Oryzias latipes: one gene and its partners. The protein of the gene in region 4 binds, or shares a complex with, the protein of the main gene of each other region. Links are inferred from orthologs where the notes say so. Each region holds a gene or a part of one and is shown on either strand. Other genes may lie near its edges.

The links.
Region 1: eif4a3 (region 4) and rbm8a share a complex: the UniProt entries of both Homo sapiens proteins name them as parts of the ALYREF/THOC4-EJC-RNA complex. The link is inferred for Oryzias latipes from reciprocal best matches to the Homo sapiens genes EIF4A3 and RBM8A.
Region 2: the proteins of eif4a3 (region 4) and cwc22 are in contact, whole or in part, in a crystal structure (PDB 4C9B), measured with the Homo sapiens proteins. The link is inferred for Oryzias latipes from reciprocal best matches to the Homo sapiens genes EIF4A3 and CWC22. Residues at the interface, in NP_055555.1 of Homo sapiens: Met43, Gly44, Ile72, Ile73, Lys74, Gly75, Gln98, Cys99, Met183, Gln213, Val256, Ala257, Glu259, Trp263, Asp266, Thr267, Asp270, Leu271, Tyr272, Asp273, Thr274, Leu275, Thr276, Ile277, Thr278, Gln279, Ala300, Asn301, Phe302, Thr303; in NP_001362958.1 of Homo sapiens: Thr129, Gly130, Gly131, Ala132, Tyr133, Pro135, Pro136, Ala137, Lys138, Arg140, Lys164, Asn167, Gly168, Ile170, Asn171, Lys172, Val173, Asn174, Ser176, Asn177, Ile180, Ile181, Glu184, Ala207, Ser208, Ile210, Phe211, Tyr215, Lys330, Arg331.
Region 3: the proteins of eif4a3 (region 4) and casc3 are in contact, whole or in part, in a crystal structure (PDB 2J0U), measured with the Homo sapiens proteins. The link is inferred for Oryzias latipes from reciprocal best matches to the Homo sapiens genes EIF4A3 and CASC3. Residues at the interface, in NP_055555.1 of Homo sapiens: Thr178, Arg179, Lys198, Ile201, Tyr202, Tyr205, Arg206, Tyr207, Leu208, Pro209, Pro210, Thr212, Lys231, Phe232; in NP_031385.2 of Homo sapiens: Arg217, Trp218, Glu219, His220, Asp221, Lys222, Phe223, Glu225.

The regions. Positions count from the first base shown.
Region 1 is NC_019874.2:29,124,168-29,132,110, reverse strand, and holds the start of rbm8a (RNA-binding protein 8A), read right to left. Parts: upstream 4,062-7,943; 5' UTR 4,054-4,061; coding exon 3,993-4,053; coding exon of another isoform or gene 3,987-3,992; intron 3,473-3,986; coding exon 3,413-3,472; intron 3,334-3,412; coding exon 3,256-3,333; intron 2,690-3,255; coding exon 2,553-2,689; intron 1-2,552.
Region 2 is NC_019879.2:6,697,910-6,705,146, reverse strand, and holds part of cwc22 (pre-mRNA-splicing factor CWC22 homolog), read left to right. Parts: coding exon 1-142; intron 143-3,377; coding exon 3,378-3,643; intron 3,644-4,030; coding exon 4,031-4,285; intron 4,286-4,493; coding exon 4,494-4,622; intron 4,623-5,310; coding exon 5,311-5,479; intron 5,480-6,878; coding exon 6,879-6,932; intron 6,933-7,015; coding exon 7,016-7,151; intron 7,152-7,237. UniProt on the Homo sapiens protein: Required for pre-mRNA splicing as component of the spliceosome. As a component of the minor spliceosome, involved in the splicing of U12-type introns in pre-mRNAs. Promotes exon-junction complex (EJC) assembly.
Region 3 is NC_019866.2:502,469-508,368, forward strand, and holds part of casc3 (protein CASC3), read right to left. Parts: 5' UTR 5,899-5,900; coding exon 5,707-5,898; intron 3,456-5,706; coding exon 3,434-3,455; intron 3,366-3,433; coding exon 3,310-3,365; intron 2,952-3,309; coding exon 2,760-2,951; intron 2,680-2,759; coding exon 2,531-2,679; intron 2,468-2,530; coding exon 2,303-2,467; intron 2,226-2,302; coding exon 1,423-2,225; intron 1,338-1,422; coding exon 1,164-1,337; intron 1,016-1,163; coding exon 917-1,015; intron 868-916; coding exon 686-867; intron 617-685; coding exon 470-616; 3' UTR 426-469; intron 364-425; 3' UTR 1-363. UniProt on the Homo sapiens protein: Required for pre-mRNA splicing as component of the spliceosome. Core component of the splicing-dependent multiprotein exon junction complex (EJC) deposited at splice junctions on mRNAs.
Region 4 is NC_019859.2:156,267-164,176, forward strand, and holds the start of eif4a3 (eukaryotic initiation factor 4A-III), read right to left. Parts: upstream 4,725-7,910; 5' UTR 4,622-4,724; coding exon 4,468-4,621; intron 3,594-4,467; coding exon 3,521-3,593; intron 3,448-3,520; coding exon 3,381-3,447; intron 3,298-3,380; coding exon 3,235-3,297; intron 3,153-3,234; coding exon 3,020-3,152; intron 2,955-3,019; coding exon 2,874-2,954; intron 1,700-2,873; coding exon 1,558-1,699; intron 1,484-1,557; coding exon 1,345-1,483; intron 1,018-1,344; coding exon 902-1,017; intron 724-901; coding exon 616-723; intron 532-615; coding exon 363-531; 3' UTR 99-362; coding exon of another isoform or gene 82-98; 3' UTR 1-81. UniProt on the Homo sapiens protein: ATP-dependent RNA helicase. Involved in pre-mRNA splicing as component of the spliceosome. Core component of the splicing-dependent multiprotein exon junction complex (EJC) deposited at splice junctions on mRNAs.

The DNA of each region.
Region 1 (7,943 bases), on a different chromosome or scaffold from region 4:
GGCTAAGAAACATGCAGCACAATAGACGCCACTGACGATGCAACTTTCCCCAAGCGTTTTACAGTCAGACACTATTTATCCCAAATTTACTGAACGTGCTATGTCAGTTTCTAAATCAAAAACATACACAGTCATTCTTATCAAAGTATCTTGACTAAGAATCAAATGAACACAAACATACATTTATTTTATTTAAGATCTTTTATCAATGACTGTTCAAAACCAGAGATGCATTGAACAGAGCTTGTATGTTATTTACTGATCAATAGTTGTCCCGTATCTTTCATATTGTGCAGATATTTGGGGAAATGCAGGAGAAACTATCATTGAATCATTATTTAGTTTATGGCTGCGCAATGTGAGGAAAACTCGTGATTTGCGATACAAGTGATTAATATTGCGATGACGATTTAACTTGCGATACACGAACAACCAAAACCATGATTTCCATTTCACTGCAACAGTTTATTTTACATTTAACATAACTGAAATCCTATTTACTCCAAATGACCCTTGTCTACATAGCAGGTGAGCATCTAACATAAAAGGGCCCCATCCCATTGGTCAATCTTAACGCATAAAAGGATTTATTTGATTTGTTACTTCAAGCTGCCATAATATTGTTTTAGCACATTTAAGGTTACCATTTATCAGACATTTAGCCAACCTTTAGCAAAGGGGCATTGCAAAATTTGTTATTGCGTCAGCGATCTGGTTAGCGCTCGTGCCTCACAACAAGAAGGTTCCTGGTTCAGGTCCCGGCTGGGGGATCTGAACCAGAACCCCAATGGGGGACCTTTCTGTGTGGAGTTTGCATGTTTTCCCCGTGCCATGTGTGAATTTTCTCAAGGGACTCCGGCTTCCACCCACCGTCCAAAAACACGTTTCATAGGTTAATAGGTTACTTTAAATTGTCCCTAGCTGTGAGTGTGAATGGGTGTGTGATGTGCAACAGGCTGGCGGCCTGTCCAGGTGTACCCCTGCCTTTACCCACAAGTGGCCGGGATAGGCTCCAGCAGCCCCGTGACCCCGACAGGGACAAAAAAGGGTATAGAAGATGACTGAATGATATTGGGTTAACGACAAATTTGCGATTTAGTGTGCAGGCCTAATTTAGTTTAACTAAACGTTTAGAAATAAAGGATATTGTTTACAGTAAAGTATTAGAAATTGTTTATAGAGTTAAACGTAATTTAGTTCCAAAAAAGACAGACTATTGAAGAGTTGGTCAGTATAATTTAAGGGGTCTTTCTCATTTTGAACAGGTTTAATGTTCGATCTAATGTCAAGACAAGATGTGTTTCAGTTCTTGACGTGAAATAATGGAAGGAATTGAGCGATGAATTAAAATGACGTAATTCTCAGTTAAAAGAAAAAAAGTCTAAAACATATTAAAGGTTACAAAACACAGATGTAGAAGGACTTTGTTTACTTGTCTCCATTTATTAAGGACTGTTTCCTACTTTTTGGTTTGTTAAACTGATTAACTTGGACATTGAAGGACAGGCATATAATAAGCTTCATATGCTTCTGCCTATTTTTTTAATTAATTGTTTATACTGTATGTTAGGTAAACAATGCAAATGACAAACTAAACTAAACCAATAAAACCAAAGCAGACATTTCTAAATACTCCAGTGGAAAAGCCGGGTCTGTTCGGATGAACACAGAACTGATATCCTGCTAACGGAAAACATTTTTTTAGCCCAATTAGGTGAAATGGAATTTTTTTCCAGTTATAAACTGGTTGAAAAACACTGCACCAAAAGAGAAAAACATATTTTTTTTGAGTGAAAATACAGTGACAGTCAGGCTTTAAGTATCCTCAGACTCGTTTTAAAACTGAAAAACAACCCTTTGAAATCTGACAATTATTATAATACAGTTCTGATCACAAAGTGCAGATGTCAGACGGTTTCCTCCTTCACTGAGCAGACCGTGAAGTAACAAACTGCAGAAAGGTCAACCCTCTTCTTCTCACGGCCCCCCAAATGCTTTTCTCATCCATTTTTGTGTCGTGCAGTTAGACCAGAATTATGCCAAAGCTTTTATTTTGGTGGAAAAGTCAAAGACTCAACACTGAGCATTTTAGCCTTTAGTGGCGGCCAAACACCAATAAGACGGAAAGAAAATCCCTCAGTAATAATAAAGCCGAAATAGTTTGTTTTTCATACGACTGTTCTTAAATATCAGCTTCACTTCACAGAAACTAAAGTGCTGCTACAAAAGGGCAGTCCAGGCTCTCTCTTAACCCCTTCACGCAACTGTTCTGAGAACACAACAGCCTTATTTTAGCAACCAACTTTCTTTTCTACAAGTATTATAAAATATATGATTAAATCCTACTGAATGAAATCTTCCACATCATTAATATGATGACTTCCATCCTTCCCTCTGATAATTACTGCCTAAATGCTTGTTTTTAATGTTGATCAAATATTCACTTCTTCCGCTTAGATGTTCATTGGAACATAAGCAACATTTGACATCCAAATGTTGTGTCTTTAAAATACAAAATGTGTTCAAAGAAAAAGGAAATGGTTTAAACTCACCTTCAGATAGCCAGTTCTGCGATCCAGATTAAGATGGAGGTTCTTGATTTCCCCAAACTCTGAGAACTTATCGTGGATGTCTTCCTCTGTGGCCTCCTCGTGCACGCCCGTCACAAACAGGATCCAGCCTTCTACAGCTGCAGAGAGGGGAGGGAACAGGGCATCAGACACCCAAACCCCCCAGTCTCCACACCAAGACAAGCAGATGAGTTTACCTGACCTGCTGGCATTCACGCAGTTTCAAAAGTAAAAGTCTGCATTGTTTCAGAGCAGTTTTTTAGTTTTTGCATAGGTCAAAATTAAAACGCAGCCGTGAAACTGATTTATAACTTTTAAACAATGAACTTTAGGTTAAATTAAATTAGTTATCTGCAGCTGTGATGCAGAGGTAGACCTTCAATCAAAAGTTCAGTTCCTGCCTTGCCTGCCCATGTGTGGACGTGTCTTTTGGGCAAGACACTTAAACCCCACAACGCTCGTGGGGGTTACAGGCTGTGACTGTGCATGGGACTGGGACTTTCAAGCCCTTAGTGGCTTAGTAAAGGTAGAAAAGCACAACATTGACCATTTATTCTATAATCAAATTAAATAAATAAAATAAAAAAAAATACACACAAAGATCTTAGATTTTTTACAATCTAAGTGTGACTACAGCTTGTTAATTTGCTTCTATCTGAACATGAAGGTCACTTGTAACACCTACATCTCTGAGGCCCAGGCTCATCTCCGTCCTGTTCCACAGTATCATAGTCCTCTTTGGCTCTGGACCGGGCCCCATCATCTGGAATCAAAAACTTAGAATCAAAACCAAACCCTAAGAAGTCAAGAAAAATAAAGGGAAAAATGCTTTGAAAGCTCACCTGCACCAAAACCTCGTCCTTTCCTCTTCTTGGCTTTCTCCTTTAACTTGTGGATGCTTTCTGCAAACAGACGAATAAAAGCCTAAGGACGCCGTTTTCAGTTTCCTTTAATTCACAAGAGTTTAGTTTATGAAGTTCTCAAATGGAGTAACTATATGTGTTTTTGGGTTGTTTTTTTAGGAACAATGTGCAATTTTTAAATCGACGTTTTTTCTCTCATCTGCGCAACACTAACAGCATGTAGCCGTTGGCTAACATGGATGCTAGCGCTAGCTTAATAGAAAACAAAACAGCTTTAACGTGCAGAGAAAAATACAGTCCGTTTAAATAATTAACATTTTAAAAGCGGCCCTCGCAAACACAGACGGCTGCACCCCCGCTGAGAGGCTCGCTAAGTGGATGAATGACCGCCTTTCGTTGAGTTAGCTGGATGCTAACACGGCTGCGGCCCGCTAACAAACACGCAGTCTGGGCTGAGCGTGATTCTGACCGCACGTGCGGCTATTTGAATTTCATTATTTGGCTGGCAGGACTGCGGTGCGTCCGCCTCTAATTGTGTAAAACAACGCAATACCGTCACCATCCTCATCCATAGGAAAGTCTTCTCCTCCCGCCTCATGAAGGTCCAACACGTCCGCCATGATGTCTGTTTGACTGAGTACGAACAGCGCATGCGCACGGAGAATCACTAAAGAGTCTGAGTACGTAACTTCCGTAAAGATTTTTTTTTAAACTTTATTGTACAAAACGTAAGTAAGTTTAATACAAAACACAATTTTGCTAAGTAAACTTCAGATATGCCAGGGTAGCATACATATTACAGGAGTTTTAGATAAAAAAAAACATTCAGATTTCAACAACTTTCATACAAACATGCAGCTTTCTGATTAAGACTTTTGGAGATGTTACTGAGATACATTTAAATTTGTTTGATTAATAACACAGGGAAAAAATAGGAGATGAAGAAAATTTGCATTTATTAATATAAAATTAGTCAAATATAATAATAAGATTAATAATGAGTTTTTATTTGAAAATGAAATTTTTGTTATTAATTTTTAGTGCAGAGTTTTATTATAATATTCATGATTAATATCACATGTGTTACTGGTAAAAATGCATAATATTAAACGATAATTTATGTTTTAATAATCATGATTTCTAATTTATCCCTTATGAAATAATTTACATTTATCATCATGAAAACTTTTTATTTTTGCAAAGCATTTTAACTGAAACTGCTTTCATTGGGCTTGAGATGATTGTTTTACGTGGTTTGTGCTTTTTATCTTTTATGTTTTTATATGTATATATATATATATATATATATATATATATATATATATATATTTTAACCTGTGATCTTTGTCTGTGAAAGGTGCTATGCAAATAAAATTTACTTACTTACTCAATCATGATATTAATAAATAATCATGATTTTTTATACTTTAGTGTGGACAATTTAATGCAATATAATTAATGATATATTTGTTATTAATAGCATTGTTAAAATTTCCATGCCATATATTTTCAAGAATTGAAAATTGTTGTTATCTTGGTATTATATTTAGTGTCATCACTGATATAATGAGAACAATGAGAAATGTATACATTTGTTTTAAACATTAGTGTCAACATTCACACAACAAAAATATGATTTAAAATACTTTATTATACTGCAAGGGATAGCATTTCTATTATTAAAATTGTGACTATACTTGTTATTAATATTAGAGTTGCAATTTCTATCATAATTATTATTAGTACATTCTGTGTTAATATTGATGTCAAGGTTTTAGAATCAGAATCATCTTTATTACTAATAAGAGCATGACTGCACATGTAAGGCATTTGACTGTAGTGTTGTCTGCAAACTTCAAGAGTTTCACAGAAGTTTATATTTGTGATTGATACAATATTTGTGATTTACACGACTGTTTACATATTTATTAGATTAATCATTACTTAATTAATTGTAATATTATTTTCATTGCTACAGTCAGAACTTCAGCTTTCTGGGTGAAATAGTTTTTACCATCATCTATTTTTTTATCAGGAGGAGGAATGATTAAAAAAAAAAAAATCTTAACAACTGTCATGCATATAAACAAATAATAATAATAAAAACCTAAAACAGTTAAAATACCCAAGAAAAATTTCAAACGAAACTACAGTAAAACTTTAAAAAAGCCTAAAACTATTTTAACTACACACAACAATTATTCCAAATACACAAAACCCCCTAAATGAAAGTGTTGCATTCAAAGGTTTAACGTTTATCAGGATTTTCCTGAAAAAAAAAAAAAAAAGCAGAGTGGTCCGTCACATGATCCAGTCCGCCAGCTTAAATCCATTCATGCAGAACTGTTGTGGTGCAAAAGAAACAAAAAAAATAAAATTTAGCCCGAACGCCATTCTGTCAAAAACAGATTATGATCACAACAATTTTGGATTTAAAGTATAAATCTGTCAAGTTAAAATTCCGTTTGATTTTGTGTGTAGCTAGTCCACAGTAGATTGAAGGGTTTCTTACCACTTTGTAAGAAGATATTAAAGCTGACCTGACCTTTAGCCTAGTGGATGTTGAACTGTTGTGCTAGCAAGTTGTTGTTTGTGTTATCACGCAGCCACATACCAGAACCTGTAGAGCTGTGCAGAATCTCTGCGGGTCAATCATCATTCCAGATGAAGACGCACACCCATTCAGCCCGCTACCAATCATCACAAGACTTCCCAACAAACAAACAAAGGACGGCAGATTCATCCGTGGCTGCATAAAGATTTTCACAGTTTCAGTGTGCTTTGAGAAAAGGAAAACTCCACACAAAGCACAGCAGACTCCAGAAACTCACAAACGCCGTCTCTGAGATGCTCCACAAAGCAACACATTTCAAACATCTGTCGGAGAGGAATACGATTTTTCTTTGTGATCACTTCTTTGTTCCTGGAGTACAATATGGGTGCGAAACCACAAAAGATATGCAGGTTACCATAGCGATGCCACAATGCACAACCTTGCATGCTGCAGTGACAAAGCAACAAAGAAAAGTGTGCACACAAAGACAGGACTTTCAAGAAACATTGGGATTCATTGAGTAATTATAAAGTCATTTTATTGGTGATTTCTAAACTTGTGAACGATAAATGAAAACATAAAACAAATGACTTTGAGGAGCATGAACACATATGCACTGGTTCATCAATGAGCTTATCAGCAGCTGATTGATAAAGGAGGGAACACGTGTTCAACCCGGAAATGCAAAAGACCAATGTCGGAAATCCACAAACAGGACAAAAGAAAGCAATTGAAATAAAATAAGAATAAAAGAGTAAATCTGCTTTTTTTGATTAAATGCCAACTTCATAGCTATTTCCTTCCTTTTTCCAATCTCTTTATTTTTGTCTTTTGTTAATTTTGCTTCCATGTCTGAAAAGTAAAAACTTTGGCAACAGATCCTAATACTACAACTTCTACTCTAAAAGTCACTGTCCTCCCTCCAATATTTTATTTTATAGACAAGCAAAAGTGGCTTCATCTTTTAGATTAATTGTCTGTCCCCGGTTCTCATTCTTTCCAGGATATCCAGAAAATCGAGATTTTTCAGTGGAATACAAAAAAAAAGCTCAGTCAGAAAATATTTTTCACTTCACTCGGCTCTGTCTCTAATCTATCTTGGTTTTTAATTAACCAGTTAGAAAGTTATCAGATCCAAAACAGTAATAAAAAAGTAAAAAAAATATAAGCAATCCTAAAATAGAAACATGTGAAAGAGGGATTAAAATCTAACAAGTATTTTTTGTTTTGTTTTCAGTCTCCACTCTAGTATTTTGATTTTTTAGTTCTCGTGAGTTTTTATGTGTTTTTAATTGTTATATAAAATAAATGAAAGTCTGTGTCGATTTACTATAAAATACTCTTTATTTTTCCGATTTAATCAAAAATACTTGAGCTGGTATAAAAAAAATCAGATTTCAAACCCTGAAAAAAGCTGAGAGTATACCGTTTATGAGTTAGAACATCAAAACTCTAAGAGATTTGTGGAAACCTGTTTTTTAAGCATTTTTTTAAACCTTTCTTAAAAATATTTGATTCTACATGCCTGTTTGGCCGAATCACAATCAAATAAAGAGAACACACATCTTGCATGATTAAAAGATCTACTTTTAAAAAGAACCCAAATGATGGACAGTAAAGTGCAAACAAATAGATCAAGTAAACTGCAGTTTTCAATATTCAGTTAACCTGATCAGAAGTTTGAACTTTGAGTGTATCTTCAGATTTAATCAAACATGGAATCAAAAGTTCAGGTTTTTCTAAGCTTGAGTCACTGAGTCAGAGCGACCAGAACGTCATGAATAATTTCTTTCCCACTCAATCAGTCGGCGTGGACTTTGTATGTTTGCTGTCGCAGCAATCAAGCTTCAAGGTCCAGCCGGAGCAGTGATTGTTCTCGTGTCGACTCTTCTGAATGCTGGAAGTGATTAAAGTCTGCACAGCCATGATTAACTCATCCTCAGCCGCTATAAAAGG
Region 2 (7,237 bases), on a different chromosome or scaffold from region 4:
GCAGCAGTCTCCACAAAGAAAGTCTCCAATGTCCAGGAACTCATCCAAGAGCCCCAACTCTAGCAGCTCAGACAGCAGCAGCAGTGAAGATGAACATCATGGTGCACTAAGGAAGATACGGAGTAGTGTTGCTGAAATCAAAGTGAGTTATTTCATATACGTACTGTTTTACAATCAACTTCCAAAAATTTGAATATCATAACAATAGTATGTTCATTTCCATAATTGCATTAAAAAATACACTTTAATAGAATCTAATCTCATGTCCCTTTGTTTAATTAATTTCGCGTATTTATTTGATTTTTTTATTTATTTATTTATTTTGCATAAATTAGGATTCCAGCTTATGAAACCCACAAAAAACAGGATTTCAAAAAAAATTGGAATACTATGGAAATATTTTCCTAAATTTAGCTAGCATGAATGTTTTAAATTGGGTTTCATCAACTAATCACCTACTAAAATCAAGGTTCAATATGGGGAAGACTTTAGACTTCACAACTGGCCAGAAGACCGTCATTGATCCCTCCATAGTCTGGGTAATCAGTCACCAACGTTCCTAGCTAAGGAAGCTGGCTGTTCACAGCTGTCCAAGCAGATCACTGGAAAGTTCAATGGAAGGGTAAAATGTGGCAAGAGAAGATGCAGGAGCAAAAGAGACAACCGTGGGCTTCAGCGGATTATCAAAAGATTAAAGAAGCTCCAGAAATCCAGAAAGAGTGGAATGGGGGGGAGGAACAGCTTTAAGAACCACTACACTCAGACGCATGTGGGAGATGGGCTACAACTGTCGGGTTCCTCGGGTTAAACCACTTCTGAGCCTGGACAAACGGAGGAAACATTTCAATGGGGCCAAAATGAAGAAGGACTGGACTGTTGGCCAGCGGTCCACGGTCCTGTTTTGTTATGAGAGATAAGTGTGCCGTTTATTTGGACTGGTGAGGAGCAGAACCCAAACTGCTAGGGGTCCAGTGTGAAATCTCCACAGTCAGTCCTGATTTGGGCTGCAATTTCCAGCACTGGTGTTGGAAAACTCTGATTTCCGTCTAGCAGAATGTTCTAGAGCAGCGGTCCCCAAACCCCCGGGTCGCGGACTGGTACCGGTCCGTGAGTCATTTGTTAACGGGCCGTGGAGGAAGAAAAAAAAAAGAAGCTTGCATTACTTCCGTTTTATTTATTTCCGAATCTGAAAGATGTTTTATATTGAAAAATTGCCCGATTATCTGTTTTATCCGTTTATGTCACTCTTGATGCAGGCCGAGGCGCTCTTCTCGATCATGTGATAGGTTACAGCTAAAATAAAACCCAGGATCTAGCAAAATGAGTAAAAACAAACGTCTGTGGAAAGTTTCTTTGCCAAGGGGAAAACACCCAGCCTGGGAACAGAAGAGGAGCCTTCCACTTCCAAAAAAAGAAGGCTACATTTAGTAGACAGTACTTCTTTTTTTTTTGCACCATGAATGTGGGAAGGGGAGAGGATGATGACACCTGTACGATGTCATGCGTGTAAAAATAAAAGCTCAGGCTTCGTCTTGCCATGACTCTGGTACTTGTTTATCATGGCATAGCGACCATAATCATCTGTCTACAAGTTTCAAGACGGGTCCTAGGAACCTTTCTGTGACGTCATACCGGTCCGTGGCATTAAAAACGTTGGGGACCACTGTTCTAGAAGACTTCATGATTCCTCCTGCTGAGGATCTGGATGGAGACGCAGATTTCATCTTCCAGCAGGACTTAGACCCCGCCCATATCGCTACAAGCTCCAAAGCCTGGTTTGATGCTCGTCTGGCCTGCCAACTCGATAAACCTAAAGGCCATTGAAAATGTATGGGGTCAAACAAAAAAAGAGCTGACGGCAGCATCAAGAAAATCTGGGCTCCCATAACGCCACAAGCTGATTGCATCAATGTCACAGTGCATCAAGGCAGTTGTTAAGGCTAAGGGATTCCCAACCTAGCAATGAAGATCGACATATCATTTTGAAAATACATTATTTTAATGGATTTCATGTGATCATGACCTCCGTCTTTATCTTCTTGCAAAAGGGGAGATTTCCCCACAGTACCGTATTCAGATTTTCTGAAATCTTGTTTTTGTGGGTTTTATGAGCTGGAACTCCAATTAATCCCCAAACAAATACACTTGAAATCAATTAAATGGTGGGCCCCAAACCTTTACACTATAAAAGTTCAATTTTTTGAAATGAATTATGGAAATTAATACTCTTTTCCATGTAGAAAGTGTCTGTTTTGAATATACTATTTAAGACTCCTTAAAGGAGAAAAAAAGAAGAAAAAACTTCAACTTTTAATGATAATTTTCCACTTGTCTTTCTTAGTTTAAAAAAAGAGTCAACATAAATAAACTATTGAAATTAACTTCTCTGTTTAAATATATTACATTGTGCTGTTAATCCTAAAGACTTGGAAAATCATGTTTTATCTGTCTGGCTTTTCAAAATCAGATGCATCTGGAATTTAAATGTGTGAAGTCTGTCATTAACTTTTTTATTTTGTAAAGGTTTCTTCTTGAATGTCTGAGTGTCCTTATTATATACTTGTCTTAATTCATTTCAAAGCTTTTTTTCTTTTTCTAATGATCAAAATGTCCTCTTTTTTTCTGATGTCACACTATTATCAGTTTAAAGAGTACACTGTGCCCCAGAAAAGCTTTATGTACTGTAGACATTTGCACATCCACTATTTTTACATTGTTGATTTAAAGTCTTCAGGTTTCATGAATGAAAACTGACCACCATTTAGTTTAAACAAACTCGCAGAGAAAGCTGCCAAAAAAGATGCAATATCATTTCCATCTGCCATCATCTGAATCTTAGTTAAGCATTTCTGCCATCATGAGCATCATTTTAATAGATACCTTGACTTTGTGACTAAATACAACATATTTTATCTGATGTTAAATTCTTTTAAATACTACTTGTAATTAATAATTTCAGATTAAAAAAAAATAGCATCTTAATTGAGATTTCAGGCAGAGGGAAATTAGCTTTTTTTTTATTGAAGAAAGGCACCCCAGGATATCTGAGCAAAAACTGGAGTACTGATTGAGACAATAACAAATGAAAGAAGACTTTGTGGCAATGACTGTTTTCTGAGAGACGAGCTCTCCAGTTACCTGCAGGCTCTTATTTAAAGCAGACGGATGTAGACAGACGATGGACTGCAGAGTTGCTTCCGTCACTCAACTGAACTAAAGCTTGGAAGCAAAAAAATGTCTTTTTTTAATCAATAGAAATGGAATATTTGTTTTTTTAGATTGATTTGTAATGGTAACCCAAAAGCTCACATAGTTGCATGATGTGAACAGCTTAAGTTGGCAGTCTTGATTAACTGTCCTATGTTTGTGTCTTTCAGAGACCGGAGTTGAAAGAGCAAGCAAGGTCCAGATCCAGGGAAAAGGACAACTCCAGATCCAGATCCAGATCCAGATCCAAGTCGGGTGAGAAAGACCAACCCCGGTCCAGGGAGAGAGAAAGATCTCAGTCCAGGGGTCGTGATAGATCCAGATCCAGATCAAGATCCAGGGGAAGAGACGGATCGAGGTCCAGAAGACGGGACAGATCCAGGTCCAAATCTAGAGACCGGAACCCAGACCGTTCTAACAGAAGATATTATGCTCGGTAACTGTTAGACACACACCAACACTGTCTGATTTCATCCTATTTCTTTTAAATAGAAGGAAAAACTTCTTTGAATTTCATTAAGCAGCTGTGGATTTATATGTTAGGGTACCCTAGTTTAGAATTATCTTATTTTAAATCAAAGGTTTGTCATAATTATTTTTACTCTTAGATGTTCTTTTTTTTGCTGGATTTATCATTTTTTTCCCCATGTTTATTTGTAGACCTAACTTTTTTTTGGGTCAAAATTATTTTTGTAAAGTCTTTTAACATATTTAAATCCACTCTTTAGAACTAATGTTGAACAGATTGGACGAACGTGAGTCTCAAGAAATCGAACCTTTCACGGGTTTGACACAAAACCTTTTGAATATTTTTGATTTTCAGGGATCGCTACCAGGATCAACGCGACGATAGAAATGGACGCTTTGATTGGCGAGGCAACAGGGATATGGAGTCCGGTGAGAGGAGGCGGGGCCGCTCCGCTTCTCCTTCCAATGACAAGGAGCCAGATTCTGCCGAAAAGCCTCCCGTTAAGAAGAAAAAGGAGGAGATTGATCCGATCCTGACCAGGACCGGGGGTGCTTACATTCCCCCTGCCAAGCTGCGCATGATGCAGCAACAAATCACTGACAAGAGCAGGTGAGACAGAGATTAAGACCTTTTATTTAACTAAAGGTATGAACCCATTCTGGAACTTTCCATTTTAGTGGCAGGTTTTTATCAAGCTATTCACCATTTTTACGTTTTATTAGCAGCTTCAGATCACTTATTATTTCATTTATTTGTCTGTTCAGCAGCTGAAGTCAGTTTATTAGCCAGTTGATTAACTCGTTGCCTGCCTGTACAGCCTGGCCTATCAGAGGATGAGCTGGGAGGCTCTGAAGAAGTCCATCAACGGTTTGATCAACAAAGTCAACGTGTCCAACATCGTCAACATCATCCAGGAGCTCCTACACGAAAATATCGTCAGAGGGAGGTGAGCTTATGGTCAGATAAAAAACACTGCACATAACTTCTGAAAAACCTCAGTAACAACTGAGGCTAATATACGATATTCTGCTTTGAAGAACAGTTTCCGTTGCTTTTATTAAGTCATTTTTATTTATCAAATAATTTAAAAAACTAGAATGTAGGCCTGCAAAATAAATCGCAAATCAATTATTATACAATACGCATATCGCAAAAGACGGCGAAAAATTGCAATAAATGGTTCCCTTCAATGTGCTCAAACAGTCCTATGACACCTTAAAGTATTTAACGAATCAAATAAATCCATTTCTGCATTTGACCTCTCAGATGGACCCTTTACAACATTGACCAATCAGATGGAGGCCTTTTATGTTAGATGTTCGCCTCTTATGTAGGCGGGGGTCATTTGGAGTGTAATTTAAGTTATGTTGACTCTTATTTAAATTAATCTCTTTCAGTGAAATGGAAATTATGTTTTTAGTTGTTTTGCTATATGTTGATTTATCGCAAGTTATATCCTCATCGCAAAACTGATCACTAATATCGCAAATCGCCAGTTTTCCTCATAACGTGCAGCCCTTTTTGAATGTTATTTCTAAGTTTTCCTATAGGAGTCAAACATCTGGACCTGATGTGTGTGTTTTAAGTCCCAAAGCTCCTGTGTGACGCCTCCTTTCTGTGTGTGTTTCTGTCAGGGGTTTGCTGGCTCGATCGGTGCTGCAAGCTCAGGCAGCTTCTCCCATCTTCACTCACGTCTACGCTGCTGTGGTTGCCATCATCAACTCAAAGTTCCCTCAGATTGGAGAGCTGATCCTCAAACGCCTCATCCTGACCTTCAGACGGAGCTACCGCCGCAACCTCAAGGTGTCTCTGTCGTTTCTGCTGAGTCATGCATCATCTTCATCAGATAGTAGAGACGCTGTGTGTGCTTCCCATCTGAAGGGCTACTAAGCAAAACGTGTTCCTGTAGCTCATCTTTAGCTCTGAATTATTTGATTGTTTTGAATCTCTGATTTCAACTGCATGTGAAAAATTATCATATTTTTATCATCTTTTGATCTATTTGCAAAGCGTCCCCCTGGTCTTTTAATTAAATATTGTGCAGTTTTTTGACCAAAAGCAAAAAACCTGTCGTTTTCTAGGACATAGTTTCTGCAGAGCAGTGATAGTTCAATAGAAATATGCCTCAGAGTTGTGGGTGTTACGGTTGGCGTGGAGCAACGCCGCCCCCTTTCCCCTCCTTGTTGCTGAGAGCTTGAAGCAGGAGGCTTATGGCCCGCCCAGCGCATTTGCTACGTCACAAATGTTCTCTTTTTCAAACAGCATTTTTTTCATCTGCTCCTGATTCATGTTGATTTGAATAAAGAGACACTCAGAAATGCAATTTTAAGCTTAATTTTTTTGTATGTGCCCTCCGTCATAAAAAAATGCCACAAGAACATATTAAAAACACTAAAAATATAATTTTCATCGGAGTGGGTCTTCAAGACTTCATTGCAGTTGATCCTAAATTTAAAACAATTATCATGAATTACACAGTAACATAAGGTAAATCCCTGTTTTGGAGTCTTTCTTTAACTCAACATTGCATTAATTCTTTTTAGAGTGTTTTTTTTGTTATTTGATCCATTATTTTAAGTTGTTTTCATTTAAAAAAGATGAAAGCATCATAGTATGAAATTCTGAATAAAATTCAGGTTTGATTGGATTGTTCTTTGTTTATTATTTTGTGCCTGCATACATTACCTTTTTGGCCAAATTTCTTACAAAATGATGTTCCTTCTGTTGAGGACAGAGCAGTCATGCTGCATCCACATGCTTGAGGAAAGATAGGTGTCGTTGCACAGTTTCTTCTGTTATAAATCCATTTAACTTGAAAAACAATATTTTATTCACCTCCGTCATCGATCCTGAAGTAAAGGCAAACTACAGAAATGTCCTTCTTCTGCCTAGAGAGGAAGCATTGTTTTTTAAAGCAGGATCAGTGGAAGTCTAAACGTAACCGTTTAATCTTTATTTAGATAAGTGGAAAGCTGCCAGTATGAACAGACGGAGGCCAAACTGAGTCCAAAGTAATGAAGCAGCAGAAACTGGACCAAAACAAAAAGGAAAAAACTGGCAGAACTTGGAGCATTTTTCAATGTGTTAAAGTGTCTCTCAATTCCGTTCAAGAGTTAATGGAGGAAAATGAAGTACCATTAAATGTTGAGTTTCTTGATTCTTCTGTTGTGTTTGTAAATCTTCCTTCCTCTTGTTTTTACAGCAACAGTGCCTGACAGCCTCCAAGTTTGTGGCTCATCTCATCAACCAGAACGTTGTAGGTTCTTCTCTCTAAAACCTGTAATAACTCCAGGTTTCAGCGTTGGTGTTGATCTCAAACTTCTCCCCCGTCCCCTAAAGGCTCATGAGGTTTTGTGTCTGGAGATGCTGACCCTTCTGCTGGAGCGTCCGACCGACGACAGCGTGGAAGTCGCCATCTCCTTCCTCAAAGAGTGCGGACTCAAACTGACCGAGGTTTCTCCTCGGGGAATTAATGGTAAGAGTTTAAAGCCTTTTCAAACACCCTTTAAAAAAATCGGCTTTAATCTTTAGGAAAAACTTCTGCTCTGATAATTGCAGCAG
Region 3 (5,900 bases), on a different chromosome or scaffold from region 4:
TACTGTTCATCTCAGCACCAACAGACCCCCCCCCCCCTCCAGGTACTCCCCCCTCCCGTTTCAGCACACGTTCAGGTGCAGCAGGAAACCGGAGTTTAGGAGGAGTGAGCACTGAAAGCTCCACGCCGACTGCAAACGCACTCAGGGCTGCATTCAGGTGCGTCCTGTATTCACCAGCTGACGGTCATGGGGGGAGGGGGGGGGACTCTCCTGCCTGTCGAGTCCAAGTCGTCCCGATGACACTGTCAGAGGGGATTGTGGGAAATCAGCCATCCAGCTGTGATGATGGTCACTCCCTCCCGGTGTTCTGGCCCCGCCTCCTTACGGTGTTGGTTCAGGCCACTCCCCCCCCCCTGGCTCCTCCTGAAAGAGTGGAGAGTGATGAAAGCTCCAACAGGACAGTGAAGGCAGCACCAGAAACTCACCTGTAAGGTTCACGCCAGGGTGGGGGCTGAGGCTGGGGGCAGGCTCACTCTGAGGCGAAGGGAACCTCCGGGGGGGGCGGTTTGACCGTGACGGGCTGGGACGTGCGGCGGGGGGGCGAGGGCTTGGGCTGGGCCTGCTGCTGCATGGTGTCGTAGTACGTCACGCCCCCGTAGGTCACCTGGGCCTGACCCTGCAATATCCACCACATGGTTCAGAGCCGGCCCCCCCTCAAAAGGCTACTACCATCAGTGGGACTTACCTGGGGGGTGGGGTACATGGTGGGGTAGGGGAAGGTCATTACCCCAGGAGGAGGGTAAAAAGGTGGGGGCAGTAGCTGCTGCGGTTGTCCTGGTGACAGCGACACAGGGGGGGCTCCGTAGAGGGTGGGGTTAGCGATGGGGCCGCCTGATTGATGGGGATGAAGTCCTGCAGGGGGCGGAGCTTCAACATGAAGAAGCATTTAAAATGAATGTCAAACCAAAGAACTCACCAGGATGTGGGAGGTGCATCTCGGGCTGGACCAGCATGCTTTGTGGCGGGATAGGGGCGGGGCCATCACTGTGGGTGTAGATTGGTCCCTGATATGACACTGTGGACGCAGAGAAAGGGGTCAGAAGATGCAGAACCGGGCCAGAACCTAAAGCAGTTCCCCATGGCAGTCCTGCAGTGACCCCTACTGGGGGGTTGAAGGAGGTGCAGCTGTCCCCCATCCCCAAAGAAACGGCTTCAGCTCTTACTGGGCTCGTAGAAGTGTCCCTCCATGACCCCCAGGTGCATGGGCGGGGCTGGCTCTGGCACCGCCCTCTGGCGCTGGGAGGAGTAGCGTTTGGCTCGACCGGCGCCGCCGCCCAGGTCGTCCATGCTGGAGAACTGGGGGGGTGCATTAGGGAGGTGCACGGGGTTTCCTAGGCCTGTGAGCAGAAACATGGGTGAGGAACTACACCTGTGCCCCCCACCCCACAGACAGCTGCCTTCACTTGTCCGGGGGGGGCTCACCTCTGACCTCGGAGCGGACGTACGACGCCGGGTTCTGACTCCAGTTTGGTCCAGACAGACTGAGGCGGGCCACGTCTTGGTCCAGCTCCGAGGTTCCTCCCCCCGTCTGACTTGCCCCCTCCCCTCCTCCTATCCAGCCCTTACCCCCCCCACTGCTGGGGGAGGCGCTCCCACCCGCTGCAGACTCCTCCACGGAGGTCTGTTTGCTGCCGAGGTCGGCGGGCCGGGACCGGGTCCTGCGGGCCAGAGAGTAGGACTTCCTCTCCACCGGCCGCTCGGGGGGAGGGGAGGCGTCGGGGTTGGAGCCACCTGAAGATGCCTGGGGGCCGTGGGGGGGGGCAGAAGGCCTGGTGTCCTGCCGACGGGGGGAGGCGGACCGGAACCTGCTCGTCTGCAGCAGCACTGCAGAACTCGAGTCCTGTGGCGGTTCTGTGGCGCCGTCCGGAGAAACGTCCTCCCCCAACACTGAGGAGCCGGCCTTTCCAGCACCCCGCCCCCCTCTGCTGGCTCCGCCCCTCTCCCCTGCAGGCTCCGGCAGAGTCTTGGTCACCTGCCGCTCCCTGTGAGGAGCGTCTTCGTTCCTGGGCGGAGGGGGGGGGTGAGCTTGACTGTGGTGGGGGGGTCTGTTCCGGGACGGGGGGGCTCTGGAGGTGTGGTTGCGCTGAGCGGCAGAGAGAGGGGGGAAAGCGGAGGGGGGCGGGACAGATGAGGGCGGAGCTCCTCCTGTCCGGTTCTGCCAGGATCGGGCGGGTCGCTCCGCCCCCTCCCTCCAGCGTTTGTCCCTCCCCTGCGACGTGTTCTGCCTGCAGACAAACCCAACAGGTAGATGAAGCACAGGGGGGGCGGAGCCTGAAGAACCAGACACGTGGCGTCAGCCCACCTGGGCTGGCGCTGCCTGTAGGCGGGCCCGGCGCCGTTCCGGATGTCGTAGCCGTAGATGGCGATGAGCTCCTCGCGGCTCTTGGGCGCTTGCTCCTCCTCCCTGAAGCGGTCGTGCTCCCAGCGGCCTTCGTCCTTCCACAGCTTCCTGTTCCGCCCCTTGGGCCTGCGGAGGGAAAAGCAGCTGCAGTCGGTTCTGGGGGGCGGGGAACCGGACCGGGGGCCGTACCTCTCATCCTCCTGGGCGGGTCCTCGGACATCGTGCTCGAAGAACAGCCCCTTTCTGGGGATGTAGGCGGGGTTTTTCCGGTCCTCGTCGTCGTCCAGCTGCTGGCCCGGTTTTCCTGCCGCCTTGGTCTCGGGGTGGTCCGTGGATTCCTACCGGGCCAGGGGAAGAACACAGAACCGTGGGGGTTCTGGCCTGAACTGGACCTTGAGGAACACAGGAACCTCCTCACCTGTCCGTCGCCGCTCTGCCTCTCCCCGGCCAGGTTTCCCTTCTCTTCGGCTTTGCCTTCCTCTTTCTCGTGGTCCCCCTCCCCCTCTACCTCCCCCTCCTGCCCGCCCTCCCCCACCGCAGCAGACGGTTTGGACTCGCCGGCCTCCACAGCCTCTTCCTCGCTGTAACCCTCCGCTTCCTCCTCGGCTCCCTGGAAGACACGTCTGTTCAGAACGCCTGAGACTTCAGGCCGCGGCCGGACGCCGGTTTCCACCGGTCCGTCTGCGGCGCCTCCGGTGCGGGGAGTCCGTCTGCCCCCTCCCCAATGGCTTCAGGAGGAGTGGTTTGTCCTGCCTGTATAGAGCAGGTGGGCCTCGTGCTGGCGCCGGGTCCTACGACCCATGTTTGGGTCATAGATGACGTCCGTGGCAAAAACGGACGCCGCTGTTATCCGCCGTGTTAACAGCGTGCAACAAATGTCGTCGTTTTATTTTGAAATGGACTGCAGACGGACTGCGGAGGGAGCGCAGACGGCCCAGTGGAAATCAGCCTAGAGTGTGGGGGGGTACCTCTGACGGGGAGCCGTTCTCCTCAGGCTCGGCGCTGTCATAGTCTGAGAGCACAGCTGGGGGGGGACAGACAAACATCAGAGGGTGGCGGTGTAACCACGTAAGTGAGGGACGGGCGAGTTACCTTCAGCTTCATCCTCGCTCTCCTGCAAAAAAACAAACAAAGTCCATTGGAAACAATCCTCCTCTTCCTCACTGCAGCAAACAGAGATGAAGGCTTCTCATCAAACCGCTTTGACCGTCTGACAGCAGCACATGGAGCATCAACCAATCAGGACCTTCGCTTTGGCCCGTGATGTGCTGATGATGTAATCAGTGGGCGGAGTCTAGAGAGATCATTTCACTGCCGCTCAGTTTGAATGGGATCCAAAGGAGCTGACCATCTAACATCTGATTGGTCAAATGGATTAAGGTCATCATTTGTTGACCTTTTGGCCGTCTTTTGCGATCTACGTGTTGCACAGCTGGAAATGACGATAAATGTCTGATTTCTGGAGGATCTGCTGTCCTGAACATCAGGATGTCGGTTTCATGGAGACGACATAAAATGTTGACAGGAAGTCGTCAAACGGAGACAGGAGCGCTGGAAGCGCCGCCATAAAGCAGACGGTGAAGCTCGCCGCACCACGGAGATGTCATGAACGCAGACGTGGAGGCGGGATTACTAACGCTGAGCTCTCCAAACATCATCCAGGTCCTTTAACAGTAGCTCCTCCCACTCGCCGCTGGAGCCTCTAGACCAGTGTTTTTCAACCTTTTCTGAGCCACGGCACATTTTAACCTTAAAAAAAATCCCGCGGCCCACCAGCATCCAAAAATTAAAATAAAAAAAAGGAGAATCTCATAGTCTGTATTGATCTACAGCCCCTCCCTCCACAATCTCACATGCATTTTTGAGATAGTTGTTGCAGAAAAAGCTGGAAACTGCAGCTGTTTTTTCTAAAAGATGCAATAAAAGTTAAGTTAGAAGATTTAAAAATAGTTTGTGTGTTCGTTGGTTTCAAGACGTTTAACAACAGATCTCCCTGTGCACCGTCACTCTCACAACCCAATGCATCATGGGAGATGTAGTGCATAAAACGGCCAAAGATCGCTTTTCGGAGCTTCATGGTTTTGTTCACTTGTTCCACGGTCTGATACCGGATTCTGTGGAAAGCTACACCGCTAAAGACGAGCTTTAGCTGGTATTTTTGTTAGAACTGAGTGACTTTATGAGCAGAATTAAGAACACGGAAGTGAAGACTTTAACCACTTCTGATTGGTCAGACTGATGACATGTGATTAAGCCCCCCAAGAATGATTGGTGAAGACAGTTAAAGGGGCGGGACTTTTCCAAAATACAGCCGAAGGTGCAGCTGAATCGCGTCATTCTTATCAAAATGTCTTTAATAAAATAAAATAAACGCAAAAAAAAGTATTTTATGATCTTTCATATTCCTAACTCCTCAGTGTTTTATCAGGATGTTTGGATGAACACAGAGCTGAAATCCTGGAGATGGAAAATGTTTTTAGATCAGTGAATGAGGGCAATTTCCCACGGCACACTGGTTGAAAGACACTGCTCTAGATGAAGACGTTCCAGGACAGGCGTCCGACACGGAGGAGACACGAGAACGGCGTTGTGTGAACGCATCATCGCTCACTCCAGTGCCCACATACAGCCCATCGGGGGAAGGGGGGGGTCTGTCTGTGTTTGGGCGGGAACTGAAACCTCAGGTGCCTTTGGTGCTGGCCAGGTAGCCCCGCCCCCATCTGTGTATGTAAGCCAGCTGCTGAACGGGGGGGGGGGGGGGGGGGGGGGGGGGGGGTCAGAATGTATCACGTGGTCCAGGATGTGGGCCGATATGAAGGCTGGTTCCGATCTGCAGTCCACCCTGCGTCTGATCCATCTCTGGTCACGTGATGCAGCCAGCAGGAGCGCCGTGTGTATGTTTGGAGCAGAGATGCAGGTTCAAATCCCCAACATAGCAGCTTCCTCTGGGCTCAGGTTCGAGTCCGTGTGACTGGACCCAAAGCAGCAGAAACCCGGTTCCGCTTCTTATCTGGTGACTCATAGCGGGACCTGCCCCACGGAACCCAGCAGAACCGGACTAAAGCCGGCCAGGACCCTGGAAGCCCTCTGCCGGGTTCAGTGCAGACCCCCCCCCTCCCTCCCTCCCTCCCTCCCCAGCCCTCTGCGGCGCGCGCGACTCAAATTAACGGACATTCTCAGAGTTTGAGCAGCTTGAAGGGAGTTGTAAACCGGAAGCGGTTGCTCTACGGCGTGAATGACCCCCCACCCCACCGTTTCCCCGCTGCCAGTCCGGTCCGGCCCACCGGGCAGCGGGCCGGGTCACCGCCGCCGGCCGCCTCCCGGAGCCGCCGTTAGCTCCCGGGTTAGCCGGCGCAGCTACTCACACACTCGGACTCCACGTCGCTCTTCTTCGCCTCCTCCCGCCGGGCCTCCACCGGCTCCTCCGGAACCACGTCCCGCCCTCGCGCCTTCGTAGCCGGCGATCCCGACCTGCCACTGTCCGAACCGGACCCGGACCCGGACTCGTCCTCGCTGTCCTGGGACGCGCGCCTCCTCCGTCGCCGCCGGTCCGCCATCT
Region 4 (7,910 bases):
TGTCACCGCACAGGTAAGGTTACTGGTAGCTACAGAAAAAGGTAAAAATGGAGAAAAGGGGTGGGGCCACCGAGTCATCCATCAGATCAAATCAGCCACTGCAGAGACAAGAACAAATCGTAAATCAATCACGTGACTTCAACAGATGAAAGCAGTTGGCAGGAATTTTCCTCCCCCGGTGAAGGAGACCAGAGTACAACGAACTACGACCCCCCAAGAATTCACGATAACCGTCTGGAGACGATTTTACACCACAGACACCGGTGGAGAAACGGAACAACCGAAATTTAAACGGTGAGCTTTACAGTCTGAAGGTCAACCAAGATAGAAAAACCCCGCCCCTAAACTCTTGAAGGGCGGAGTCAGTCTGAGTGCAGTGTATCATGGGAAACAAAAGACTTACCGTTCATGGGCATCTCGTCAATCTGGGTGGAGTAGTACTGCTCGATGTCTCGCAGGATCCTGATGTCATCGTTCTTCACAAAGTTGATGGCCACACCTTTTCTGCCATACCGGCCAGAGCGACCAATCCTGGAGGACGATTCAACAAACATACAAAACTGTTTGGATCCCTGGTGTAGAATGGGAACCCTGTCCCAGGTGTGGCGTGTGTACCTGTGGATGTAGAGCTCTCTGTTGTTGGGCAGGTCGTAGTTGATGATCAGCGACACCTGTGGGACGTCCAAACCTCGAGCCCAGACATCGGTGGAGATCAGGACGCGACTAAAACACGGACAGAAAGCGGTTTCAGTGGGCGGGTACTAGTGCGATGGTTTTAACCAGGCATTCACTGATCAACTTGAAGAACCCCAAAGACTGTTTATTATTCTAGTTCTAGTTTAGGGTGGGGGTTAGTAACTTGGGGAGGGTGGGGGTAGCTTGAGCCCCCTTCTGGACTTACCTGGCTCCAGATCGGAACTCCTTCATGATGGACTCTCGTTCCTTCTGCGGCATGTCTCCGTGCATCGACGACACCGTGAAGTTGGCCTCTCTCATCTTCTCTGTCAGCCAGTCCACCTGCAACAACGCGCTTGAATCCGTTACCCACAAAGCATTGCTGCTTCCGCAGGACCAGTGTTTTCACTCACCGATGGAAGTCTGGTAGTTTACAAACCCTGATCATTGTGTTTGTTTTTCCAACATAAAGACAAGACTCTGTTCAGAACGACTGGAGGACATTTACAGGGACTGAGCTCATGTGGACGATAACCAAACCCTGAGCCCGGTCCCCTTTATGGACATTTGCTTCATGAGACAAACGCTCGCCCAGACGCTTGGATGTTGACCTCTGCTGGTCTTTCCTGGACTCGGGTTTCAGTGTAAAGCCGATGTGTGTGCACCAACCTTTCTCTTGGTGTTGCAGAAGATGACCGCCTGTGTGATGGTCAGAGTGTCGTACAGGTCACACAGAGTGTCGAACTTCCACTCCTCCCTCTCCACGGCTACAAAGAACTGCTTGATGCCCTCCAAGGTCAGCTCATCACTGAGGCAGAGACAAATGCCGGTCACTCACTGCTGCTGGAAGCCCACCGCTTCAGAGCTCATCGGCGGACTCACCGTTTGACCAGAATGCGGATGGGGTCGGTCATGAACTTGTTGGTCATCTCCAGGATCTCGTGTGGCAGCGTGGCGCTGATCAGGACCACTTGCGTGGCTGGAGGCAGGTAGCGGTACACATCATAGATCTGCTCCTTAAATCCTGCCAAAGACAAAGCAGCGGCTGTGACTACCCAGATGGTCACATGACTGACGCCATCGTGTCCTTACGCCACAAACAGGAAGTGATTTAGGTGACCAATAACCAAACTCTGTCCAATCATGAGCCTATTATTGAAGATTAGACCAGGAAGAAGCAGAAATGATGGAAACAAGGAAGCAGAAGGAAAAAACACATTGGTTTGTTTCTGCTGTCAGAGACTGAAAATGAAGTCTCAGAGATGTCAGGTGCTCCAAACCGGAGAAAGGCTGCTCCTGATTTTTGGTCCCTGAGACCCAGAAGCATCTCCGTCTCTGAGGCCGGCCCCAAACCTCTCAGAGAGCTCGTAGTTTAGGACGGTCTGCCAGAACTTCAGCCATGACGGCGGCTTTGACTGACCAGGGTCATTCAGGAAGTGCAGTCACGCCGGAACTCAACTACAGCATTCCCATCGCGGGAGTTGCCTTCTAAAATAACCGGCCACAGGTGAAATCCACAAGCTAGCTGTCAACATTTCCAGACTTTTCTCTTAAAGTTCAAGCCTTCGTAGAAAAATCCGTCCAGGATTCTAGAATGAAAAAGATCTGATGGCGACGAAGAGCAAAAACACCAACAGCCAAGCAAAGATGTGTGGTGGTGAGATGAAGACCTCCCCATGCGCTACAGAGACCACCACCCCCACCCCCCAAAAGCTCTGCTCCCCCACGAATCTGGAATGTTAAAGCAGAAATCTGAAACCATTCTCTGCAGTGACACTAGCAACACTACAGACATGAATTTAAAGTTCTGACCCTGCTAGCGGTTCTGCTGAAGATTCTGCTGAAGGTTCTTCCTAACCTTCACTTAGAACATCTCCATGTCACCGTTAAAATTCACTGAAGTGTTGCTTTAAACGTCCTAAACAGGAAGTGGTGACATCGCGGCCCGATGGCGTCAAATGGACTTTTCAAATCTGACACATTAAGCCGAAAACACGACCACTGAAAGGAAAGGTGACCTTCAAGTGTGTCTGGAACAGGTGGTTCCAACCTGGAAGGACCAACCCTTCCTGCTCCTTCAACACATTTCAGACGTAACCAAAGGTGCCAGAGTTATTCTGATGACCAGCAGGTGAGCTTTCAGCTCAGACAGAGCTGCTTTGCAGGTACAGAAGACGCTGAACAGCAGAGGACCTCACCTTTGTTCAGCATCTCATCAGCTTCATCCAACACCAGCATCTTGATAGCTCTGGTCCTGAGACTGCGGCGCCGAATCATGTCTGTAAAGAGACGCCGTCAGCATTCCCGTTTGTGCCACTTTTGCCATAAAACCCATTGAACCCACCAAAAACCCGTCCAGGGGTGCCAGCTACCACGTGCTGGCCGTAGTCCAGCTTGCGAATGTCCTCGCCCACGTTGGTTCCTCCGATGCAGGCGTGACACTGAACGTTCATGTAGTCTCCCAGAGCCAGCAGCACCTGCACACAGGACACCGTGACTGGCACCGCCGCCTCTACCTTACAAGCCTTTGGCTGAACATGGCGGTGGAGGCGGGGCTACCTTCTGAATCTGTCCGGCCAGCTCTCTGGTTGGAGCAAGAATTAGAGCCTGGGTCTCCCTGACCTGCAGAAGGAACAGCATCACCACCGAGCTGCAAACGGGTTCTGGCCCGTCTGTCACGGGACACAAGAACAGCAAGAACTCACCTGGATGTCCAGACACTGCAGGACGGAAATACAGAAAGTGGCCGTCTTTCCTGTTCCAGACTGGGACCTGAATGCAGCACAGATCACACGTTACAGCATGGAGGACCAGAGCACCTGCATGTTTTCCAGCCCAGACTTACTGAGCGATGACATCTCTGCCTTTGATGATCTGCTTGATGGCTCTCTGCTGAATGGCTGAAGGCTTCTCGAAACCTGTAACAGAACCAGAACCTGGTCAGGTGCTGTCCATCTTCATTTCCACATAGAGAAACCTCATCTGAGAAGTTCCCATGCTGCTCAAACTGAGGGGGACCAAAGTGGGAAGTTCTGGTGATGCTGACCAGAAAGAAAAGTTTTAGTCCCACAGAAAGGATTTCTATGGAGAAACTGGGTTTTAGGGGTAAAGAAGGATCCTCTCAAGCACAATAGTCCAGGAAAATGTAGAGAATTCATCTTTATCAGTGCAACACTTCAATATTACTGTAGATACAAATCTGATCGATTCTGTCTATTGGGATTTCTCCCGTCCTTTTGGGTCCAGATAATATGTTCATAAAATGTTCTGCCGTCTGGAGAAGACAGAACACATGAACAGAAACAAAATTAAAATACACATTAAGACAGAAGTGTTGACATATATTTATTAATAGTTCTGGGGGAAATTAGTAAAATATTCGCTACATATACGAAGCCATATAGGATGGGAACCGTCTAACTCCTGGATCATGACTGTTACGAGCAACAATACCAACAAAGATCGTGTCCAGGCATTACTGAACGAAACCCGCAAATTTTAGTATCTGGTTTTCGTTTAGTAAATAATCAACACGAATTTAAACTAATTTCATGTCAGCGCGGCCGCACGCGGCCTTAGCATGCTAGCATGAAGGCTAAAAAGATGAAGTTTTTCTTCCCGCCAACGACAAAATGATCAGGTCACACCAATCTACCCGCTTTAATGTAAGTTATTACGGGATGTAGTCTGATACCAACTACGTTTTCATTCCTTTTTTAAGGTGAACTGAACCACACAGCGGATTTAGGCTTAGCATCTGGAGGCGGAGGCCTCTCGAATCCACCGGCCTACCGTAGGCGTAGATTCCCCGGAGCAGGTCCTCACGGAGCCCCATGGTGTCGAAGGTAGGGGTGACATCCACCTCTTCACTGGTTTCAAACTCCACCTTGGTCATGTCCTCCTCCTTCAGGAGTCTTCTCCTGCCCGGTGTCCCAGCAGCGGCCATGACGGTCGTGTCTGTCTTCAAAACGAATCGGTAGTCTCCGCAAAAGGGGGGTAACCGCTTTGCTAGCTACTAACAGCGCTCCACGTGTCGCTCTGCTTACGTCATCAGCAGGCGACCAGGTTTATCAGGCGGAAGAGCAATTGTTTTTCGTTTGGAAAAAACATTTGAGGTTTACAATATTGTGGCAGCTGTATAAAGTGTCAAACCACAATTAAAACAGATGTAACCAACTTCCTGGATCTTTTATTTTGGGAGAGGTGTGTCCCTCCCGGGTTACCCTAATTGACCAGCTGGCCAAGATGTTGTTGTCCCATGGGGGGGGAATGGGATGACCATTTGAAATCTGTTGCTTTTGCTTACAACATCTCCAAGCACACCAGCACACGGTTTACTCCCTTTTATCTTATGCACGGGCGCGAAGCCCGGACCCCGGCAGAGGTTCTCATTCCTAGTGGGGTTGGTGGCATTGGCAGTGCAGCCACGCTGCCTTTATACGCGTCGTCTCTTGTGGAGCGGCTGGAGATTGCTTTCAGTGCAGCGAGGGTTAATGCAGCAGAGGCGCAGGAGAAACAGAAACTGTACCATGATGAGAACTCTCACCACAAGGGCTTTACAGAGGGTGCTCTGGTCTGGCTTAATAACCCAACAGAGGGCCGCACAAAACTAGCACCGCACTGGAAAGGTCCCTATCGTGTGGATCGGGTTCTGGCTTCAGGTGCAGAGGCCGCTTTGACATATCGCATTGTCAACCCCCTGGATATGTCTGAGCGGGCCCAGGTTGTTCATCATGACAGGTTAAAACGTTACACTCTTCCCCTGCCTGCTGGTTCCCCAAACGACAGTATGTCCACCCCGCCATCATCCTCTCCTTCGGCGGGTACTTCATTGGACCCCCCAGATAATGGTGATCCACCCCAACAGGGTCAGAGGGACGCGTTTGGGACAGCCCCTGCACACTCCCGCAGTGGCAGAATGGTGCGTGCTCCAACACGTTATCAGGACTTTATTAGGATGTAACAATACAGAGTTATGTCACAGTGAAATTTTTGTTGGTGTTGTGAGGAGACTGTCATATGTTGTTGTGTTTTCCTTCCTTGAAAGATTCTGTTGAATAATATGCTGTTGGTTGGCAGGCAATGTTGTATTATTATTCAGATTTTTTTTTTTCCTCTCCCTCCTGTGGTGGGAAATTTGCCGGTGGGTTCTGTAAACTCATGTTGTTCCTGTTTGGTTGACTTTTGTTGACGCCATATTGGGTCTCGAATGTTTATTTCTTAATTCATTTATTTTATTTATTTTTTTGCACTCCCCGGCCTGTTGCATTTCCTGTAGAAATTGTAGAAATGAGGACATTTCTTTTGAAAGGGTGGACGTATGTAACCAACTTCCTGGATCTTTTATTTTGGGAGAGGTGTGTCCCTCCCGGGTTACCCTAGAGACCAGGGGGCGTGGCAAGTTAAATTTGGGAGAGTAGAAGAAGAAGAATAAAGAATTGGTGAGCGGATCCACTAAATGGCGGACCTGTTGTCCCGTGTCGTTTATGACCACAGAGTGAATGATTATTGAACCTCCCCCATCGCTCGGTTACACAGATATAGAAAAAAGTTAACAACGTTAATAAAGTTAAGTAAAAACAAATACAAAAAACAATAAAGAAATAAAATACAAACTTAAATAAGACGGATTAAAATAAAATAAAGGGGATATCCACGGGCATTGCAATGATCATGAATTTAGGGATTATCAAAAAGCTGTAAATTATGAAATCATGATACTTAGGAGTTCCATAGCAAGTTTATTTTCCATGATGATGTTTACAGAAGAAAAAGATCAGAGTTCTTCATGAAATGTAAAAAAGTATGGATTGATGTTAAGGAATCGATATTTGTGTATAGAATCTACCCAAAATAATTACAACATTTAAAATGATTGGTTTTTTAAATAAACCCCAAAATGATATCCTTAATAGAAAAGTCTGCTAAACATGTAATTTTAGGGAAGAGCCAATAATGTATATTGTCCCAAAAGCCATGAGAGTAAAAACATTCAAAGAAAAGATTCTCAGTTGTTTCAATATCTTCATAACAAAAAGAACAGTTTTCAGGAATTCCAAACCGTTTTCTTAGTAATTCCTTGGAATTGGTTTAAAGTGGACTTCCTTGGCTTTAGGAGGAATGGGAAGTTGTAAATATTTAGTTTGTTTTTGTTTCTTTCCTAAATAATTAAAATATTGGGTTATAAAGTTTGTATTTGAGATGCAGGGAAAGGTCATGTCATGAAAATATTCTTGAATTTGGAAGTGAAATTGTAAAGAGTCAACAAAAAACAAAACAAAAAAGGCCTTTAGGATGTTGAAGCGTTTTATTACAAAGTCATGTAGACACTTATCTTCAGAAGAGGAACACCTCGTCTTCATCACTTCCTGTTTAGCAGCAGTCCAAAAAGTCAGCCATGCAGAAATAAGGACACACATTTGGGGGGCAGTAAGGGAAAGTTGGGGGCTAAACAGAAATTCTGCAAAGAAACCCTAAGAAAAGACAAATGTTTAGAAAAATGCAGTGGGGAAGATGGGAAAAGTCATTTTCTAAACTTCAGACGTTAGAGATGACTTTAAGGTTAGATTTACTGCTGGTGCCTTCTCACTGGAGCTAATAACTGCTAAATGTACTCAGCTAGTACTTTCCTACCTTAAGGCCTACAGTGCTTTACATTCACACACTGATGGAGGACCAGGAGCAAGTGGGGTTCAGTGTCTGTTTGTTCCCATGTGTCGAAGGGCCCTTGGGCAAGACGCTGACGCCCACATTGCTCCTGGCGGTTAGAGGTTGGCGCCGGTGTTCGGCATCAGTGTGTGAATGGGACTGTAGAGCGCTGTGGGCCTTCTAAGAAGGTAGAGAAGCGCTACAGAGGTTTACGCCATTTTAGTTGATTTCTAACATAAAACAGAAATAACAAAACTAAGAGCCCAAAAAAAGAGTGTGAAGAAGAAAATGAATGGATTCCCACCCCTCAATCTTGCCATGGTATGCCCCCGTCATTAAAACAGTGGGGTCATTTTGGGACTCTGACCCCTAGCTGTGGTCCAGTGTCTCTCCGGAGCTACTGCTGGTATCAGGATGTAAAGTTCCCTCGTTCAGAAGCTCCACCATTACCCCCCCTGGAGGGATGTTTGACTCCGTTTTCATCCCAAAGTGTGAACAAAAGGCACTCTTATGCCCCCCCCCAACATGACTGCCTCCAGCACTGTAAGGGTGCCGTAGCCCCGCCCCTCCAATCAGCCACAGTCATT